Mytilus edulis: one gene and its partners. The protein of the gene in region 2 purifies or fractionates together with the protein of the main gene of each other region. This does not show direct contact. Links are inferred from orthologs where the notes say so. Each region holds a gene or a part of one and is shown on either strand. Other genes may lie near its edges.

Region 1 (7,343 bases), on a different chromosome or scaffold from region 2:
TTTTGTTACATGATTATAATATTGTAGTGATACTGAAAAGTTCACAAAGGTGGTTTAAACTTTTGTTTAGACTTTGTGTAGACAATCTATAGAGCCGCCTGGAGTATGTCTACATCCATGCTCCAGTTCAGATTGTACCAAATTCTTCTCCTCTTCCAGTTCTGACAGGTTGTTGAGAAGTCTCATTCGTCTTGGTATCCAGTAGTTCATGCCACGCCCATGACGGTTTCCTAACCCTCGTTGCTTCACCCTCCATGCATTTGGTATTTTCTTGTTTTCCTCACGCATCTGTCGGAAATGGATTTTCTTTTCAAGATTTTCTTGACGACGACAACGACGCTTAGTTTTCATTTCATCGTTTATATACTCATCTGGTTTATCTTGTGACTCGACGAACATCTTGCGTATATTCTTTTTAAACGGACCATTTCTCAATTGTTTGTCACCGTGGTGACCATTTCGGCATTTACGATCATGACATTCCGCGGTATGATGGTGTGGACCAAATTTACCAAACCGTCTCCCTGCATTAAACCGACCAAATTGTACTGCTCTAGATATTGTCCCAGTGATACGACTTGGACAACTTCTTGCACGGTGATGATTTTTCAGTTTCAGTTTTATCACTGCATTGTCTTTATCTTTACCAAATTTGCCTTCTTTACGTCCGAATCTTCCACGGCCCACCTTTTCTTTTCTTGTAGACGGAGGTCCTGAATTCATACTTCCTTCCTGGTTAGTGGATTCTGGAGTCAAATCTCCAATTTCAAAATGTGCGAGTTTGTTCCTTATGCGCCAGATGCGTTTTTGCAGACGATCGTTCTCACCATTTTGATTCTTGTGGCCTTCAGTTCTTGTGTTTAATGAATGTTCCATTTCTTGTTGTCGCTTCAACCATTTTTGTTGTCTTCTGTTAAACCAGGCTTCCATTTCTTCATTAGATTTCCTCTGCATTTTGTTTCCATGACGACGATGATAAAATCTAAAAGATTCAAGCGCAGATTCATAGTTACCTGGTCTTATTTTGAATATAGACCGCCCATTATTCTGGTCAACGTTGAAATCAGGAGACTTCTACAAAAAATATACGAAAAATAGGTCATTATTATAAGTTCAACTGAGAATTTAATTTTATATTGCACGCAAGAGTAGTTCGTCTTTTTATTTATATGGATGTTAAACAATTTAATGTATATAAATTACTTTCAAAACATGATTTGTGTGATAAAATAGGGTGTATTCAGATGGATATGTGGCTATACACATTTATAAGACTACGAAGTCCGTATTTGAGTTTCTGTCTGTGTTTTTTTTCATCGTTTACAAATTGGTTAATTGCTTCTAGTTGATCATTCAGTTTGTTTCGGTAAGCAAATAAGAAAGTTGGAAGTTCCTCTTATCTTAATTTTACTTACCATCATTTGAGCTTTGTGCAGCCTTCTCCCAGCTTCTTTCTGTTTATTGACTGTGTTACAATATTTAAGCTGGGGTACACTTTTCATATATTTCTGTTGGTCAACTGAAATAAATAAATGTATAATTTAACATGCATTGAACTATACATTATAAACTTACCCACATAAAATATTCATGAATCAAATATTTCACACAAAAATTACATTGTAAAATCGAGATTTCGATCTGAATAATGTCATTATTAATTCAGCAAAAAGTTCTAATTGCAGTTAAACAAGAAAAAGACAAGATAGTAGAGCGATGCATATTGCAAATCAAAAGCAGTGATATAAGCGTATCAATTTAATGACTATTTTAGAGGCGAATTTAGGGGGAGGGGAGGGGTATCCTGGAAAAAATGGTTGATTATATAGGGAACCACTGAAGCATGACTAAAGCGGCCCCCTATTAGGCAGACATTGTACCCCTTATAAAAATGTCTAGATCCGCCTCTGATGACCGTGAAAAATAGACGCAATTAGGATTTCATTTCATGTCCATAGCTATGAACGATGTTCTATAAGAATTTATTTTAAGAATTTTATTAATCTAATCAAGAACCCATAAAGGGCATCATTTTACAACACGATATGATTGGAAAAAGCAAAACAGAAAACTAATACCATACTATAACGTTATGGACAGGATCAGAGCCTAACAGATCATGAAACTATTTCTGTTTTATCAAAATCAATTGCTCTTTCAAGAACAAGAGACATGATAAACTAATTGTTTATTACTTCTATGTGATTCAAATGTAGATGTCTCATATCTTCGGGGCTGACGGCCCTCGGATACGAAAATCCTACATCTAATACATGTGCGATGATTTTATATTCGGCACTGATATGTTAAACGAACAAAAGAGACCGAAGTTTGAGCAAAAGAATTTCTATAACGAGGAAAATTCCAACATATACATGCTTATAAAAAATGACACAGCTAATATGATTTTGTTTGTATCAAGATTTTGGATTCTGTATCAATAAAAATCTCTTAACAGAATTTATAGTTCTTAAATCTATATTTAATAAGTTATGTTTTTAATTTTTTCAAGTCTTTATCTTTTTTTTTTTTACCTTTTCAGGCACTAGACATGAACTGCATATACGATAAATCAAATGGCTTACCTGTGACGAACATTCTAAATATACCACCGGAGACACCTTCCAACGCCTCTTGTAGTTCTTCGTCTGAAGAAAATGAGACAAGATCGCCATCAGCATCTACAATTGATATAACATGGTGATTAATTACTCCCTGTTTTATGAAATTAATATTATAAAATCATGCGCATGTGGCCTACGATGCAGACACTGGCAACCCTAAGCTTTTACTGCTATAATTGATCACGTATTTCACTCCAACACAGATCACATAAGTTTTGAAAAGGGGTGTACATTATCTCTCTTCTTTTAAATAAGTTGAACAAAATAGGTAAAATAGTTCCCCATGCATAAAACAAAACCAGCATTTTTCACATTTTTAATTCGGATTTAATTGGCAAAAAAACAGCAAGTTTCAAAAGTTTCTTTTGTTCATCACTTTTATTTAATTAAAAGAGCAGCACATTTTATTTCAATCACGTTTCCGTCCATTATTTTTTTCCATTATACTAGAGCTCTGACATTATAAATTAATAAACAAACAGTTTCAATATATACATATTTTGTCTTTATTTAAATAAATATTTTCTATATAAATAACTTATATTTACTTATCTTTCATCGATCTATCTATATATATATGTGTATATTTACCTGAGTTAATTATAATATGTTAACTTACCTTTCCACATTAGTTCACATTTATCTGTGAAAATCTTGGTAATTTTCCTCTTCAGGAATTCATAGCTCAAATTTTCATCGACAGTAAATCGTCGGAATTCAGAGGTTTCGTCTTCTTTAATAAAGGCTGCTTTAATTACGAGCGGCATTTTCACAGTTGATTCGAACTTTATTTTCGTCGCTACAAATGCGCATTTAAACGAATCATCGCTTTTTATACCATTCATCTAACATGTCCCATGACCGTGAGTCATAGACGAAAATAGATGAAAAGAATGTTCTAGAACAACGATGAAATACCTCGTGATGATGAGTCAACGGTTTTTAAATTAGATGAAATCGAATAACGTCATTCTATTTGTACAACTTATTAAAGGTTTACAGTGAGTCACGCGGTAGATGAATAGACGAAAGAGGATTGTATTTGTTCAACTTATTAAAGGTTTACAATAAGCCACGCGGTAGATGAATAGACGAAAGAGGATTGTAAAGAATCAAAGAGAAAAATTTGGCAATTTATCAAAGGAGCAATTAAACGATTTAAAACGTTTTATTTAAAATTAAGGTTACAGAACATTTGAGGGGCCTTACTAGGTAACAACATACACATTATTAACAAATATTACTTTTTTTTATCTCCTGAAACAAGGAACATATTTATTTATTGATATTAAATTCAAAACTGAAAGGTCACGAGTCATTCACATGCAACCGACAAAACAGGGTTTCCAAAAATATTTGACCAGGTTTATTGTGATGAAAATCAGGTTTATTGTGATGAAAATTTTCGAAATATCATAACTAGTTTATAAGCAACTAATATCAAACTAGCGTACACGGCAGCGCCTTACTTAATTGAAAAGATACACATTAAATATGATAGAGAACATGCAAAAAAAAAAAAGATAATCACAAAATTCATCCATTCCTAGTCATGATCAAGATATGTACATGTATGTAAGTTTGTGTGTGTGTGAACTTGGGGAGGGTTGAACTTTTTTTACATTTGGGTTCTTAAATAAACGGGAAGAAATTGTACTATTTAAAGTTCACTCCCTTTTAAAACAAAACTGTTTAGACTAACACAATAGTATATCACAAACAAACAAACATATTTAAGTACACCACACAAATACGATAATTATATAAGTTGTTTTTAAGGAAAACGGAATAGTTTTATCAGATATTTTTTAGGAATATTGTTTATTTACAACTCTGTATATTTGGCCGATTTGATCCATTTCTAGTTTGTACGGATGGGCATATGTTTTTTTGGTGTTTTTTTTTTATGAAATTCAAGGTACACTTGAGTTATATAAATAATCCTTGCAGAAATTTTCAGGATTATAGAGTTCTCTTAAAAAGTAGGACTCAACATAAAGAAAAGAAGGACTGGGGGGAGAATGTCACTGTGTGTGTACTATATATATATTTTATTCTGAAGAGCCTACTATAGAAAGTTTTACTATTAAAACATTTTCTCCAAATATTGGAGCGACCCATATTATACGGAGATCAAGAGTACTTTGGGAGTTGCATATCATGATACTGCGGTTGGCCTGGTAGGAACTGCTTATATTCAACATTGACAAATAAAAAACAAAACATAGAATGAAAATGAATAGCTTGTCAAGCAAAACGTAGAAAATGTAAAAGTGAAATAAATTAAAACAATACAGTTTCTCATGAATATGATTTACACCTGATGGATTTAGTGGTCGAAAAAGGGTGGGGTGGTCCCTCTTATATGAGCTATATTTTTTCATAATCCTTGTCATCATCTGAATCGACACAAACATATATCTCCTATCTACTCCTCCCCAGAGAATCGTTTATAATTTAATTTTCAATTTGTGACAAATTAGCCTAACAAATCTTACTATACAAATATTTGATACAATGTGAAAAAAAATATTTGATATAAATGGAAATTGACATTGCTAATTGTTTGTATGTCAGAAATTCAAGAATAACGTATTCGTCATGGTCATAAGTTTCTTATTCTCTGTTCAATTTCGTCGTGTCATTTTGTGTTGCATAAAGAGGAAACATGTGTGCTACTAAAAATAGACATGACATCGTTGTTTGTTGATATTTTTCAGAACGGAACTTGCGCATTACACTCATATTTGAACAAATGTTTGTCATCATTACTTTCAATTACCTGGTCTAGTTGGTTCTGGAATTAAATCTTTCGTCGATTCATCGTCATTCATACCTGACAACTTGGGCTTATAAAAAGAGAAGAGTTGACGAATTTAGACATAACTCTATTTGGTAGCAAAGTGGACACAACGTCAACAACAACAATTTCCCGCGAAGATGTCATTGACAGTAAAAGCCTATTTGGTAAATAAAGGAGAGGAAAAGAGAGAAATACGTAGATTTGCTGTGCCTGCTGATGTTTCAAGCAGCTTCAGCTATCTTCAGAAGAAAGTGGCGGATATTTATCCTACCCTAAAGCAAGGAAATTTTAATCTATATTGGACTGGTAAGTTGATTTTGATTATTTTAATTTACACTATTTACAAAAGCGATATACCTGTACATTTGTACATAACATGATATACTATAATAGGCAACCAAAAGATTAACTGTATACGGTTGTATGCAGCTGTTATAAAACTGATTGCTACATGTAGTAAATAGGATAGAAAATAAAAACAATCTTGTCATATATATATATAACACTGATGGTTTCACGGATTTGATATATTCCATATTTTCGATGCAATATGTCAATTTATGCAATGAAAGGAAGCTTTTATAAATTGAAATGCTGTCTGTAAAAAGGTTTATTTATTTTGTCTAGGTATTTTGAATTTCCATTTTACTTTTGGTTAAGTTTAAAATTAATTATGTAATTTATTATGTTCTGTTAAATGCCCTTGATGTTTCATCATATATATATATAATGTTGTATACCTGTACAAAAATGTATATCCTGTATAATTTGTCTAATAATAGTTGACCTGCTTTCAAACCAGGCTTATTGCAATTTAAAATGCTGCATTATTAGTTTGTTGAATTTAAAGTCATAAGAAACGAGTGACCGGTGAAAAATAATGTTCTTCCAATTCTTGAAGTAATGCATACAAACATCCTAAACCTCGTCTTCTGTGCTCCAATTTATCATTTTTTTCGTGTAAATTTCGTATAATTGTCAATTTTTTTTCTCAATCGGTCAGTGTTGTTGTGAAAATATGGCAGGTAATTAAAGTTCGTGTTTTGAAGCCGAAGTTTAACGATTGTCACCTGTTTGTCAACAATTGACGAAAAATAAACAAAAAAGCATGGAAATTGAGCACGTGTTTAACATGTAAATTCAGATAATAGTTTATTTTAAGGACATCCATGCGTATTGTGGTCACCGGATTTTTACGAGATGGGTCACACTGAGGTCACCTTGCATACGGAAAATATGTCGGGGGAATAGCTTGCTGGAAGGAAGCTATTCAAATAAAGTAAACTTCTTCTAAATATGAATAAATTAAAGAATTTTCTTCAGAAAAAAGTATATGTACATAAGTTTTATAATGAAAACTATCCATTGAGTTATAAAAATCATATGCATTATTTTTTTTTTTGATTTGAGGTTTCTTATGACTTTAAAGTGATCAGATGTTTAAATAATTTTTTATAACAAGATTATAATTCTTTTTCCAGTCATTGTTTCAATAAATGCAAGAAATTTTTAAATGTTTTTGACTCTTGTTCAATTAATCTTAATTATGTTTAAAAAATAAGATTGATTGAAACAGAAACAAATGCATGTTAATTTCCACAATAGACAATGAATGAGTTCATGTACATTTTGAACATGAATATATATATATATATAAAAATTTCCTCATGTTTACAAGGAAAACACTATTGAAACTGAAAGCTATAAGGAAACAATTACTAATATCTGAGAATAGTATGCTGACTATATATTATGTCCCTAATATAATTTATCTAGACACTCAATTTATTTGAAAAAAGTGGAAAACCCATTGCAGATTGTTCTAAAATTGTTGAGATATTTAAAGTTTCTGGGGCAGACTTAATCAGGAATTACATGTACCTATCTTATTTATTTTAGATCCGGAGGGTGACCAG
Region 2 (7,563 bases):
CTCCATGCATATTGATATTTGCCATTGCACATTAAACCATTAATCATCAATTTAAAGTGAGCAATACGGAGTCCATGCTACGGTTAAGCTTTATTCTGTAATACATGCTCTTTTATTTGAAGATTCTTGCTTAAATTTTGTTAATAGCATTGTACATATATTTATGTAGATTTCTTTACAGGTATTGCATTTCGAACCATTTCTTTGCGACCAATGGTAATTTATGGAGAGCTTGATCAACATTTTATACCTCAGGCTATAGAAGCTGGACTGCAAAACAAAAAGATCATGATTGATTTTTGTGGCAATGGAGCATGTTGTCTTGTTTACGTTGGAAATATAGCTTGGGCTTTTGTATGTGCTTATAAAGCAATGAGGTCAGATAAAACGCTTGGAGGCGAAGCCTTTCTTATTAAAGATAACAGTCCTAATAAATCAATGATGAAGTTTTGTAAACCATACTTTGATTCATTCAATATATCATTGTATCGGTCGTTTGTTCCTTATTGGATTCTGTATGTACTGATAAGTTTTATTCACATTTTACTGTTTTTAATTTCACCATTGAAGAAAGTGCAATTTCCAGTAACAACAGCAACACTTATATATACAAATTTAGCGCTGTCGTTCGACGATTCAAAAGCTAGAAAAATGTTACAGTACAAACCTTTGTACACTCCCGTAGAGAGTTACAAATGTTCACTTAAGTATTATAATTCACTTAACTTTGATAATAAAAAGAAACACTAGTTATATTTTTCCTATAATCTATTTTGATTTTTAGTTATGGCCACACAGAAAAGTGTCAATAAATAAACTGCACCATACAAATGAAAACAAGGAAAAAAGATAAAACGTAATGTCGTGTAAAACCCCAGTCGTTTGCATAGTAAACCCCAATAGCATCAATTATATGCCAAATACGTATCACAACCAAAGAAAACATTCCTAAAAATTGGCGATACTCAATTACACAAATTGAACAACTAATATGTGCCTTGAAAAAAAGCAACTTGACAAGCAATCAAATTGAGAATGGAAATGATAAATGTGTCGAAGAGGGACGCCCAAAGAGCACAAAAAACAGCCGAAAGGTTTTAAACACAACGAGAAAATCCCGAACCCGGAGGCGTGCTTCAGCTGGCCCCTAAACAAAAAAGTGTACTGATAATAGACATCATACTAGACTCCGAAATATATAAATGAACTAGAATAGCCCGAGGCTCCAGACTTGGGACAGGTGCAAAAATGCAGCGAGGTAAAACATGTTTTGTGAGATTTCAACCCTCCCCTAAACCTGTAACCAATATAGAAAAAACAAACACACTACAATATGCACAATAAAACTCAGTTTAAAAGAAGTTTGAGTCTGATGTCAGAAAAGGTAACAAAAGAAACTAAACAAAATGACAATGATGCATAAATGAACAAAGGACTATAGCTACTAGCAGTTGCTGACATGCCAGGATCGTATGAAATAAACATAATTATACTTAAACGGTAACTGTAGTTGTTTACCTTCTACGTTATATTAGTCTCTTATGGAGAGTTATCTCATTTGCAATCATACCTTCATACTTTTGTATAAATCTTATTGTGACAATTTGTTATAGTGTGGAATCGTATCCGGTCTCAATCTGTGAAGAGATAATGCGAATATTACGGGTTGTGTTCGTTATGACCCATTTATGGGCATTATGTTTTCTGATCTGTGCGTCCGTTCGTTCGTTCGTCTGTCCCGCTTCAGGTTAAAGTTTTGGTTAAAGTGTTTGGTCGAGGTAGTTTTTGATGAAGTTGAAGTCCAATCATCTTGAAACTTAGTCCACATGTTCCCTATGATATGATCTTTCTAATGTTAATTTCAAATTAGAGATTTTCCCCCATTTTCACAGTCCATTGAACATAGAAAATGATAGTGTGGATGGAGCATCCGTGTACTGGGGACACATTCTTGTTTCTTATTCATTTGTATCTTCTAAATGAATTTTTGAGATTAAGAAGAGTAAATTACTGTTGCTTCTAAGTTAAATAAAACAGACATGGCCATGACTTTTGGCATTTTCAACTGAGCATTGACTTTGGTAAATACGAGAGGAAGGCTATGCTATTGCATGATAAAAAAAGTTACATTTGCCTAACAATTAAAACATTCATGTTTATCAAGTTAAAATCTAAACCCAACTTATAAAGGTCTGCGTGAGGAGCGCAATATCGGATTGTATTTCCTTTTCACGACCAATCTTGTTACCGCATTGCTTGCAAGAGACTACTTGAATCATCATCGTTTTATGGTCAAACCCATGTCTATAATGTTGAATCTCAATATCATATTCACTCATCATCTCTAAGCACCAGGGTTATAAACCCTCGGAGATTGCAATCGCAGTAGCCATGTTAAGGAATTCATTGTTGATTATTCGAACAATACAGGTTACTCAAAGCTAGTTACATCTGAAGTGCCTAAGTAAGATATCGACTGGAAGTACTAGTAGCTTTTTTTGTGACACACTATTTCATTTTGAATATGAAAACAAGCCGATACAACTTTTTATAAATTGTGCATATTCTATTATCTGTTTGTGATAACACATGCAGCCCCTAAATATATTTTTCTTTCTTGTATCACTGTTATAAATGAATGGTTTTAATCACGGTTTGCCAAAATTACAGATTTGGTCAATTTTGATTTTAGATTTTCAAAAAATCTAAATTGATATATCTTTTAATATTGTTCTCTGCTGTTTATTGTGTGTCATAATGTAAATATGTTCGTGTTGCTATAGCATTTAACTACATATACTTTGCAAATACAGATTTCATTCATTCAAATATATGGAAGAGGAAACACATCTTTTAAAGTGATGCCATTAACTGTCCTATAGTCTACACATAATAGCTGACTAAAACACAACTACAAACAAAACAAAACTAAACAAATCCGTATAGAAGAATGCTCGTAGTTCATGAAATATAACCTTCTACTGTATACGCAGATACGATCTTTCATACATGGCAAAATACAAACCAGTATGAAATTTTGATACAAAAAACCTAAAGAAACATTGTAGTTTTGATTTCAATTGTTAAAGATCTATTTGATGTTTATATTGCAAAAAAACAAATTACCAGGATGTAACAAAAATTTAACACAAGTCAACATTAAAATTTAGTAAGCCCATTAGGGACGACATTAAAAGTTCAATGAAGGATAAAAAACTTAATTCAAATAGTTTTTTCACTGACCCCCCTACCCCCTATTAACTTAATTTGGGAAAAATTGATTGACCCATGTGGATATATGTAAAAATCAATGTCGGATAGCCAAATCTTGCAGCAGTTCAACCCCCACCCAAACTATTAAGTTTTTTTGTTTTTTTTTTATCTTACATTGATCTTTTGATGTCGTCCCTTAGCTGAGAAGAAACAAGATGTAAGAACAGTTCATAAACTTTTTAGTTTTACAAATGGCGTTGTCGTTAAGTGTTGGATATGAAATGCCACTATTTATTAATTTCCTACAATTCAGTGAATACTGCCATAAACTTTATCGAGTTAGTAATGTACGGTCAAAGTTGTGTGAAGACAATTTCAGCCTTTCCAAAAATTTCATTTCTATATGAGTAACATTATATGCATGCCTAGTTTATAATTATAAATGGTTTTTTTTTTTTTATTAAAGTGTGTGTGTCAGGCCTATCCACCACAGTGAATGGCTGGTAAGTTTGGGATATTTGACTTAAAGTTAAAGTAGATACCATCAAAACTGTTATCATGCTAGAATACTTGTTTCCGTTAGAATTGTTTTACATTTGTTGTGCCGGTGCCTTTTATAGCTTTTATGCGGTATGGATTTCAAGTTCTTATTGTAGAATGTCTGCTTACGGTAGCCTATAAATGCTAACATCTAAGATCATCTAAGTCATTGGGTCAAACAACATCTTTTTATTTTATATGAAAAGAAGTATAAATTATAGCTCAACTTTATAACTGAAAAATTAATGACCACTGTATATTCCTTCAAAGTTCTTAAAAATTTAGAGTTTCTTTCTTACAGTCAATCATATGAACAGTATCCGTTGACTTTAATTTCATGACAAACCAAGACAAAATTTTGATGAAACATATAAAAGGTTCTTTTTTTTATTATTTTCATTTCTTTGTTATAGTTATTGTCTTTAATTTGCTTTACTTCGGGAGATAAAATTCATCGTTCATGTACGTTTGCAGTCTTGTAAACTAGTACAAAGAGATGTGGAGCAGCAAACAAAGAAAATAAACAAAAAATACCTCAAACTTCAACCGAAAGGGGGGCAATTGATCCTGCTAGGAGCAGTATAAAGACATGTAAGCTAAATTTCATATAGTAAGTTATTCTGTCTATAAATTTCAGCCATACTATTTGCCCTTTAACATGTTAAATATCGCCAAAAGATATGTGTAAAAGTGGGTATGTATGTACAAATGCTATAAATACATTTGGGCTAATCGGATACCTATTTAAAATTTTATCTCACATGATCTTAAAATCAGGTGAATTTTATTTATAACACAGGAAATGGACAAATCAATTATGGTGTGTATATTCATATTTCAGGTAAATACAATATTTACGTTCAACGTTTTCCAATTCAGACCCAAAATAAACACTCTTAATTTGAAACACAATCTACACCGCCGCATATATTTATTTGTGAACAGGAAAGAAAATACAAACACTATAGACCATCTTTTACTCCTGCTATCAAACTCAAAGAATAACTTCTCTGTATAAATAAGATTCAATGAATTATGAATAAATAAATGTCAACATACTATAATATATACGTGGTAGGTCATCACAGAAACCTATAATAGAGAATGTTATTTCAACAAAATGTGTAAACTTATGTAATTACACCCAATTCGACGACCTCAACGGTATACCATTGGCATGGTTTGCTAGTACATGGCCGTATATCGAACTGTGTGTTCCTGCAAGGACCTTGCACATATACTATACTATTCTCAGCGAGAACATGGATAGTCTATACTAACTATATTAGTATATAATGTCCCTGGATAGTCAGTATAAGAACTACCCGGTATCCTTACGTCTGGGACCAGATATATATATGTATTATATATCTTTACTGCATGGGACCTAAATGAGGACTTTATATTGCCATTATATCATTAGATGTATCAGTATGCCCAGTGAGGTTATGTCACGAGGTCATATAACCTCCTTGGTATGCCTGAGCTTGTTAATAAACTGTCCTAAATATGGAAAATCTCTAAATGGAACCTCTGAATTATTTCCCAGCACAAACTCCTCAGCACCTTTTATCACGGTCCAAAAATCTGTCCAAAGCCTTTTAAAGTTATTTAAATATATGTTTCGAGTTGATTGTGACGTCCATTTTCACACTAGAACACATTTTTGTCTAGTGGACAGCCAAAGCAGCCGCGGGTATAAATCTTTTTTTTTCTAATATAGGATTTCGCTATATTTTTCTATAAATGACGGGAAAATACGAAAACCAGTAAGAAAACTTGAACATGACGCAGCGGCATTAATTGTGCCAGGTTGTGTGGTGTAACTTCAGTGTTTATTGTGTAACCCGTTTTCGCCTCCTGACAGAATGCATGGGGTCATTGCCGTTTTCAAGATTTGTCAGAGGTTTGGTGAAGCATGGACTTTTCTATGCTGTGTTTTGTAGACTGTTGTTTGTCTTTCGCTTCGTTTTTTAAGCATGGCTTAGTTTTCCTTCACTGATGATGTAGTGTTGTCTAACAACGAAAATGCGCGTTCATAATATAAAATCAAGATAACTTTAAGCTTATGGTCTACACAAGTTTCATTTGAATCAAAGACATATATATATAGTATCATGTACGTCTCTAGGTTGGATAGACAAATTATGCTAGATCGATACCTGTGTTATATTAATATATTTTTTTATAAACAAGTGTTAGTTTTGAGATATCTAAGTCTTGAAGTTAGAATAAATAGCAAACCAAAGTCTTAGTTTGTGGTCAGTCCACTCCTGTCACCTTTTAACGATTCTTTTATTTTCTTTTGTTACATCTTCTGACATCGGACTCGGACTTCTCCTGAACTGAATTTTAATGTGCGTATTGTTATGCGTTACTTTTCTACATTGGCTAGACTGGTAATGGGGAGGGTTCAGATCATCTCATAAGCATGTTCAACCACGCCGCAATTTTGCGCCTGTCCAAAGTCAGGAACCCATGGCCTTTGCTAGTCTTGTATGATTTTTAATTTTAGTTTCCTGTGTATAATTCGGAGTTTGGTATGTACTAGTGTACATATTTTTAAGGGGCCAGCTGAAGGACGCCTACGGGTGCGGGAGTTTCTCGCTCCTTTGAAGACCCCGATGATTGGTGGCCTCCAGCTGTTGTTTACTCTATATATATATGGTCGGGTTGTTGTCGCTTAGACATTATCCCCATTTCCTTTCCAGGCACTCGTCTCAGATCCCTATATACCTGAAGTTATAATAAGGAGGCCCCTCATGGGGGGTCCTAGTAATCACATAATCACCATTTTTTTGCCAATATAATCACATAATCATTAAATATTTGCTTATCTTTAGTAATCAAATAATCATAAACTAAAAATACAGTCCTAGGTAATCAAATAATCATGAAATATTTGGCTTAATAATCAAATAATCATTAAAAAAACGGCCAAGTAATCACATAATCAAAAACCCCATGAGGGCCCTCAATAAGGTATATACGATTTTTTTTTCTGAGACAAGTGCCTGTGCAGTGAGTGGCGGCTCCAGCCATTTAAAAAAAGGGGGGTCCCAATTAACCCAGAGTAAAGGGGGGTTCCAACTATATGCTCCCATTCAAATGCATTGATCGGCAAAAAAAAAGGGGGGATTCCAACCCCGGGAACCCCCCCCCCCCCCCTTTTGGATCCGCCACTGAGCACTGTGTAGTTCCTTTCTCAATTTTAGATAAATTATGTAATTGCAAGCACTATTTGGTAGTTTCTTTCCCCGACGCTTCGAGTTCCCATTTTGTTTGCAGGTCCAAAAGATTTTTATAGAGCTAGAGGAGATGCTATAAGTAACAAGTCTTGGAAGTCCAAATTTGACATTCTTCTTCATCTTACAGTAAGTGGCCAAGGTCAACTGATTGACCATGTTGACTATCATGTCACAAAGTGACATTTTTGGAGTGCGCCCATGAAAATAATTTTAAATTTATATATCTTTATAGGTGACATGAGTAAAACTTTATTTTGGTTCGGCAAATTGACAAACATATTACAAAATAAGCTCTATTGTATTTTTTTCTTTCAGATCAGAAACCAGACTGAGTAACATATATGCCTCCCCCTTTTTGAAAGTAAATGGTCAGTCCCTAAGTTAAAAATATAACATGATTTATGATTTTTCTTTTATCATTTTATAATTGCTACTCACTGGCACTGCCATGACTTTCAGTCAATTGAAGAACATCGCCTTCTGGCACTGTCATGACTTTCAGCCAGTAGAAGAACATCGCCTTCTTCTTTGTCATTCAGTACGCCATCCTCATGCTGATAAT
Region 3 (7,501 bases), about 41 Mb from region 2:
AATCTATATTTTTACCTAGTCAGGATTTCTCTGACGATGAGAAAAATAAAGCGTGGCATGCAGATGAAACTTACATAAATCATGTAAACGAAAAGATATTGAGATAGATTTTAATTTCCCTAATATTTTTGAATGGGCAAATATCTACTTTTGGATATAGGACTAGGTCTCACATCTAAGGGCCCAGACAAGTTGGTCTGGCAAAACAGCTGTTGGACATCAGAATAGCTGTTCTATCCAAAGGTCATTCACCTAAGGAAATTTTTTTCATATTTTTTTTTTTTTTATTATTACCATGTAATGTCAAGCTTGGTAACTCATAATTGTTTCTCAGTAACTCAATGTACGATGCTGGCCCATACTGAACCTAGTGACCTTGTTTGTTTACATTCAAATTCCAATGGCGTCAAAATCATGTGATGTTAAATCGTTCTACCCAATCAAATTGCTTTATTGTCAATTAGGTGATTTTTCAGTGAGTCTACTGCAATTAAATTATTTGTTTGTGGGATATTGCTTTAAAATAGTTTGCAATAATTTGGGGTTTTATTCATCAGGAAACCTCATTTTTTGCCATCCCTTTCGACATCAATGGAATTTCGTATGAATATTTACCTAGTCATGATGGTCAGAATATCAATCTTTTTATAATTAATCAATTTTTTTTTCTATGAAAAATTAATGTAAATTGTTTTTTATTGACCTACATGTACATGTACTCTATATTCCTGAACAAAATTATGGCATGGACATCGTTTTTCATATAGTTTTCCTTTCATTTTGGCTGGGCTTTTTTCGCGGGAAAATCACGAAAGACATAAGGAGCTTGTCATTTTGAAATTCATAAAAATATGATTTGCTTGAACTGTAATGCCTGCCTCAAGATTGATGACGAATGGAATGTAAACAAAGCAATGGGAGGCCGGAAGTGGGATTTTGTGAAGTTCTAGAATGTTTTTAGGCATTCGGAAGTTGGGATTGAAAGGGCCATTAGAAAATTGGCATGTTGGAGCAATACTAGAGAATAACAATGAAAACGTATATTTAGACATGTTTTTTTATTCAAAAGAGTAGAAAAAACATATTCTGCACTGATTTTCTCTGTTGGAAGTAGCGTAGTGACGTCAATGCATAGTTTCCCCGTGTGTTAAGTCCAAACACAAATACCGAACGAACTAACAAGATGACCGATTTTAGACTACGGTAGGATATGTCAGACTAACAGTAACATTTAGCTAACTTTTTATTTTTATCTTATACACAGGTGCTTGAGGACAGGATCCTGTATGAGCCCCAAATAGTCCCTCCCCCTTTTTTTATATATTTTTTTTTAATCATAAATCTCAGATTTTTCTATATATATCCCTTATTTGTACTAATTTGTACCATATATATACTAATATACCATATTTATACTCTAAATATGCATGTTTACTATCAACGTGAATCTCGACTATAGAGCGAAGCGAAAGGTTGCCAACTTCGTTTCAAGAAATTGGGGCAATGGTCAGGAAAAATTGTTTTAAAATCTAATAAAATGTCTCTTACCGGTCTAATCAACGAGTACTTGCTGTTCCTACATAATTATCCTTATCGAATATCAATATCCAGACATAATATATTACTGTTTAAACACTTTTAATTATTTTTTTCGCTGGTGGTGTTGCTGTTTTATGGTCCATTCAACTTCGATCAACGGAAGTTACAAAACAACGACATCTGTGTGGTCTTCAGCTCAAGAAGGATAACTCCACTTGAAAACGCGGGAAATTAGATGAGTTCCGGGGTAGAAAAAGTCAGAGATTTTCGAAATGTTTACATTCGAAATTCTCTTATGTTTTCTTATCCAGCATATACCCCGGAACTCATCTAATTTCCCGCGTTTTCATGTGGAGTTATCCTTCTTGAGCTGAAGACCACACAGATGTCGTTGTTTTGTGACTTCCGTTGATCGAAGTTGAATGGACCAAAAAACAGCAACACCACCAGCGAAAAAAATAATTAAAAGTGTTTAAACAGTAATATATTATGTCTGGATATTGATATTCGATAAGGATAATTATGTAGGAACAGCAAGTACTCGTTGATTAGACCGGTAAGAGACATTTTATTAGATTTTAAAACAATTTTTCCTGACCATTGCCCCAATTTCTTGAAACGAAGTTGGCAACCTTTCGCTTCGCTCTATAGTTGAGATTCACGTTGATAGTAAACATGCATATTTAGAGTATAAATATGGTATATTAGTATATATATATGGTACAAATAAGTACAAATAAGGGATATATATAGAAAAATCTGAGATTTATGATTAAAAAAAAATATATAAAAAAAGGGGGAGGGACTATTTGGGGCTCATACAGGATCCTGTCCTCAAGCACCTGTGATCTTATATACAGATTGTGTGATTTCTAGAAGCCTTTTGGTGTGTCCAGATGTAATATTTATTTATAGATGAAAATAAGCTTTTTCAAATACATTGTAAGCAGTGTATTGTTTACACAAAAAGCATGGCAAGAGTATGACCACTTCGGCACTTGTTACGTTGTTTTCAGAATTTCAGGATTGTCACTCTTAATATTTTCCTTACGTGTTTACATGAAGGTTCAATCAATGACATGACAGCAATCATTTGTTAAACTAGTAAACAGACTTAGACAGGTAGATTTACCAGGTGGCATCGTGTATAATTAAGTTACACGTTCAGATGAAACTGCCACGTCAACACCGGCAAATCAAAAATAGGATTTTCTACAACAGTTACTGTATTTCCTACGCTTTCTCTTCGTAACATTATGTAAAATAATCGTAGTAAGATGATTTAAGGATGCTCTTGATTGGAATATCTTACCTAACACTGCAAACGGCAACAAAACTACCACCAAAGATGCCAACATTGTGCTTGTTGTCGCCATTGTTCTAGATTACCTCCCCTTCGAAAATGTGGCGACCGGTGATCGATTATATTTATACCATCGTTTATTGCCTGGGGCCAGCAGAAAGTTTCCGGTTTTATATTCACTAATGTTTATCTGGGAACAGTATATCTAATATATTTGTTCCTGGGTTTATGTACCACTATAGTGACTATACAAATCTTATTAACAAGTTTCCGAGAACATCATTGGATATTGATCTATAAAAATAGATAATAATAATATTTAAACCTAAGGCAAATATAAAAGGGGGTGGGGGAGGAGTGTTCTTATAAACTGACAAAATCAAACAGGGATTTATAACTAATTTTCAATTATTTATTTTTTTCTTAACTTGTGATTTTTTTTTTGTGCTTTATTCAGTTAAGTTGGAATTTTAATGCTGCAGGAAGGCGGTTGATTTCTCGATTTAAATATACAGTACTTGATGATGGTACTTATAATGGTTTACTTTTTTAAATCGAGACTTGGATGGAGACTTGTCTCATACCACATCTTATTATATCTAGCACTTGATGATGGTACCTTGGCTTTATATTTTCAGGTATTCATTTATCAACCCTTCAACAGTTTCGTGCAAAATTTATAAAAAAAAAATGTACGAGCTTTTAAACCAAGAACATACCATGTTTACCAACCCTTAAACATTTGGCAAAATTTTGAATAAAGTTGACAACCTTTCAAATTTCTTGAAACGAACGATTTCAATGTGTATAGGATGCCATTGATATTTTTCATATCATATCATACATTTCTTATTCTTTAAGATTTTTTTTCTTTTTTTTCAGGAAGTTATGTGTTATTGTATTTGCTATTGAATTTTAATTTTTTGATTTTTAAGACTGACCGAGAAGCATTTCCAGATGCTATTTTTTCAACAAATTTTAGGCATACAATTTAGTTGACTTTATTTAAGTCTCAGATCCAGATAAAATCATTACTATCCGCCTTTAAGGTACATTTTTACGTTGTGCATATCATAAGTCAATGGCAACAATTAGCTCCAGGACATTAAATAAATAAGGTAATTGTTGAATATTATCAAAAAGCGCAAGTCTAAACGTGTCAAGATGATATATATTTTGGTACCATTGGTGTTATATTAAAAAAAAAATAGATTACTGAATGCATTACTTTTCGTGTATCTTTGCAGTAACTTGTTTTTTTATGACCATTTAATTACTAATTGTGTAAGGAATTGTGAACTAACGGAAATGAGATTTTTATAAAGCGTGTCGATTCTGAAGGGCAAAATGCATGAAATATATTAAAGGACATTGTAAGAAAAATATGAACATTTTTGTACGATGCTTTTAACCATGAAAAAGCGAGATTTATAAACCCCATCAACAGTTTCGAGTTAACTATATTTTATTTTACAGTTGACATTTTAAAGAAACGAGAATCTGGTCGTGATAATAATGTTAAAGAAAGTATGGAATGCATATGTATATTAATATAGTTAAAAAAAAAATTAGTTAGTTATACCGGTAATAAATAGTCAGTTCTCAGCGCATGTGTTTACAAATATTACTACGAATCTATGAAGTTTAATCAACAAGTAATATTTCTTTCGGTGATTGTTGACCGAAAACTTAGCAGCATATTTATACTTTCCGGCGGATTTTGATGCCGAAGCTTACCAGTTTTACCTTGTTAAACAATCAACGTAGATTTATGGGGTGCGAGTACAACATTTAAAGGTGATAGATGAATTTGTATTTGTTTTATTTTTCAAGTATACATTGAGACGAGCGAGCATATAGTGTAAGGAAGGACACTGTAGATAAATGTCTACTTGATAATTGGTATTATGTAATAAATAAAGTAGTTAGATGCACATTCCATTGACTCATTGGGTATCAAATTTCAGAATCCTCTCGTTTCCCCTGGTTGAAAATAAATGATTTAACGAAATGCAAATATAATCTAAAAATTTGTAAGGGTTCCGCGGAACCCAGTGTCTCGCCTACTTATGCTGTTAATCGCAGGCTCAACAAAAATGAGGGGAGGAATCAATTCCTCTCAATACTATCTTTTGATTGTAAGAAGCTTCTGTCCAAGTTTGGTAAAAATCCAGGATAGTTTATGAGTTTAATAAATGTTTTAAAAACTGACTGCAGACTGTATGTAATGTTAACTGAAAGACAAACTAAGTCCATTTATAAGTAAAATACGGATAAACAGGTACAAATTTTTTAACAAAATTTCCTTCTACGATACTATTTTATGATCATAAACAAGCTTCTGTCCAAGTTTGGTAGAAATACCAGGATAGTTTAAGAAAGATTTTAAATTTTGAAAACTTTAACCACATAGTGAATGTAATGTGTCCTGGCAGAAAAACTAAGACCATTTAAAAGTAAAATACGGAATTTTATTTTTACAAAATTGACTTCTGGATACTATCTTATGATCATAAACAAGCTTCTGTCCAAGTTTGGTCCAAGTTTGGTCGAAACCAGGATAGTTTAAGAAAGTGATTAAAACTTCAAAAACTTTTAACCACAGAGTGAATATTTGTGGATGACGAGGACGACGACGGAATGTAGGACTAAAGTCGAAGGCTCGACAGAAATAAAACTGCTAAAGAATATATATTCGTTCTCACTTGCAGATCAAGCGGAAGCTTATTTTGCCCAGACTCCCAGCGATTCTCTCTTTCGATCGGACAAAACATGAAGAAGGTTCGAGCAGAAGACACTAACATACGTTTAAGTTTAGTATCACGTAGAAAGTAGCATTCATAGGTCACCATACGGTCTTACGAATGAGCAAAACCCATTTAGCATTTCAAGCTATAAAAAGATCCCGCAATTTTAATGAGAAAACAAACATACATGATAAAAATAAATGAGAAATAAATACTATGCTTACATGCAGCCACAAACAATAATAACCCCCGATTTAAAGACATGGGACAGGCACAAGTCAAATTGTTCAATATTAGTTCAAAAGAAACACAATAAGTATAAATTTCATATAGGGACATATGTAGGTGACTTCCTTTTTATCTTTCAATACATCAGGTCATAAGAGATATATGTATTCTACCTATTTTGACAAGTCTTCGACAATATGTCTACAAATATTGTTCTAAAGTTTGGAATCAAATTTCACACTTTGTAATCTTCTTTAAAAAAAAATTGTAAATGATGAATATAAAATTTCATATCAATATCATAACTATACGATTGATAGATACACAGGTAAAAAGACAGGTGTGTGTTGACGGAAAAATAAACATTTCTGTTCAGGTAATCTATTTGATCCATTAGGAAAGTTAATAGGATAATATGTGTTGGCGCTTTTTAACAAGGATTAACAAAAAAACTATTCGGATTTATTACACACATTAAGGTGATAATATTACATATTGAAATTCGGCCAAAGTTAGGATTTAAACACTATGAATGAAGAAGAATAAACAACTGCTCGTTCATGTAACATTTTAACATGCAATCGATCGTAAACATGTTCAAATGTAAATATTCATAACGGTCCACGGGTCAAACCGAAACACGGATTAAAATTTCAGATCATTGACGACCCGAAACAGATATAATTATAGCTAATAGACAAGAAGATCTCCGCCTTTACAACTAGGGAAATATTTCATTACAATAGGAAGATATTTAATGAAGGGATGTGACGAATGAGTGATTAAGTATAAATAGACGTGTATTGCCTGTGTTGTTTATTGACAATTCTCAGGTGAAGTGCATATTTTATATAATCAGAAAATGCAGACATGTGCAGTAAGCAACAGGTAAATGCATGTTTCTGGTGTTAGGTGAAAACGTGAAGAAAATATCACCCCATTCTATTAATCGAAAAGTGAAATGTACTTAGACCGAATGGATTAATAACAAGTCGAAAAGTCACAAGGATGGGTGGAAAGTTAAGTTGTGCTAGTAGACGGTATGCAGAGAGGGATTCAGATTTTCAACCTTATACTAAAGGACCCATTCCAAAGCAAAATGTTGAAGGTGAGTCAAAAGTTATCAAGCTAAGCTAACAAATATAAAATGGGACTAAAAATTTCACATTCAACCAGTAACTGTACTCTAGGTTAAGCTGATTAGATTTTATTTTCAACGATTTAAACTGGTAAATTCATTTTTAATCTGTCTCTGGTTCACAGGGTTATTAAAGTCGTATATTTTGTGCATATGTACTTTTTGTATTTAACTGTCATGTTTAAAACCGTCATATATTATCCTGTAAACTACGTAAGAACATAAAAAAGAATATTATATTTGCTACCGCAGACTCTAAATTGTTGAGGTAAATTTCAGACGAAGTATATTTAATCTGATGTATTGGTCCTGTTAGATTAAACAGAGAAAGCCAGATGAAATATTTAGTTTTGAAAAATGTGTGTCAAGACTGAAAGAATGGGTGTACAGAATTATTTGAGTATGAATACATGTAAAATACATGTAAAATAAACCTATATATATAATGGTTTACTTTTTTTTTTTTTTTAAATTGTTATTTGGATGGAGGGTTGTCTCATTGGCACTCACACCACATCTTCCTATATCTATATTAAACAAACCTAC

The links. The genes of interacting proteins can lie anywhere in the genome.
Region 1: the proteins of leucine-rich repeat serine/threonine-protein kinase 2-like (region 2) and sequestosome-1-like purify together in Homo sapiens (affinity purification with western blotting; 3 studies listed by BioGRID and IntAct, with this or other methods). This does not show direct contact. The link is inferred for Mytilus edulis from reciprocal best matches to the Homo sapiens genes LRRK2 and SQSTM1.
Region 3: the proteins of leucine-rich repeat serine/threonine-protein kinase 2-like (region 2) and translocon-associated protein subunit delta-like purify together in Homo sapiens (co-immunoprecipitation; 3 studies listed by IntAct, with this or other methods). This does not show direct contact. The link is inferred for Mytilus edulis from reciprocal best matches to the Homo sapiens genes LRRK2 and SSR4.

What each region holds. Positions count from the first base shown.
Region 1 is NC_092351.1:5,214,365-5,221,707, reverse strand, and holds the start of sequestosome-1-like, read left to right. Parts: upstream 1-4,341; 5' UTR 4,342-4,804; intron 4,805-5,319; exon of another isoform or gene 5,320-5,344; 5' UTR 5,345-5,564; coding exon 5,565-5,733; intron 5,734-7,326; coding exon 7,327-7,343. Other genes in the region: uncharacterized protein, read right to left, coding at 67-1,074, 1,416-1,519, 2,586-2,681, 3,244-3,469. UniProt on the Homo sapiens protein: Molecular adapter required for selective macroautophagy (aggrephagy) by acting as a bridge between polyubiquitinated proteins and autophagosomes.
Region 2 is NC_092344.1:55,467,580-55,475,142, reverse strand, and holds the start of leucine-rich repeat serine/threonine-protein kinase 2-like, read left to right. Parts: upstream 1-4,509; 5' UTR 4,510-4,594; intron 4,595-7,563. Other genes in the region: 3 beta-hydroxysteroid dehydrogenase/Delta 5-->4-isomerase type 1-like, read left to right, coding at 182-750. UniProt on the Homo sapiens protein: Serine/threonine-protein kinase which phosphorylates a broad range of proteins involved in multiple processes such as neuronal plasticity, innate immunity, autophagy, and vesicle trafficking.
Region 3 is NC_092344.1:13,970,194-13,977,694, reverse strand, and holds the start of translocon-associated protein subunit delta-like, read right to left. Parts: upstream 3,003-7,501; 5' UTR 2,916-3,002; coding exon 2,852-2,915; intron 1-2,851. UniProt on the Homo sapiens protein: TRAP proteins are part of a complex whose function is to bind calcium to the ER membrane and thereby regulate the retention of ER resident proteins.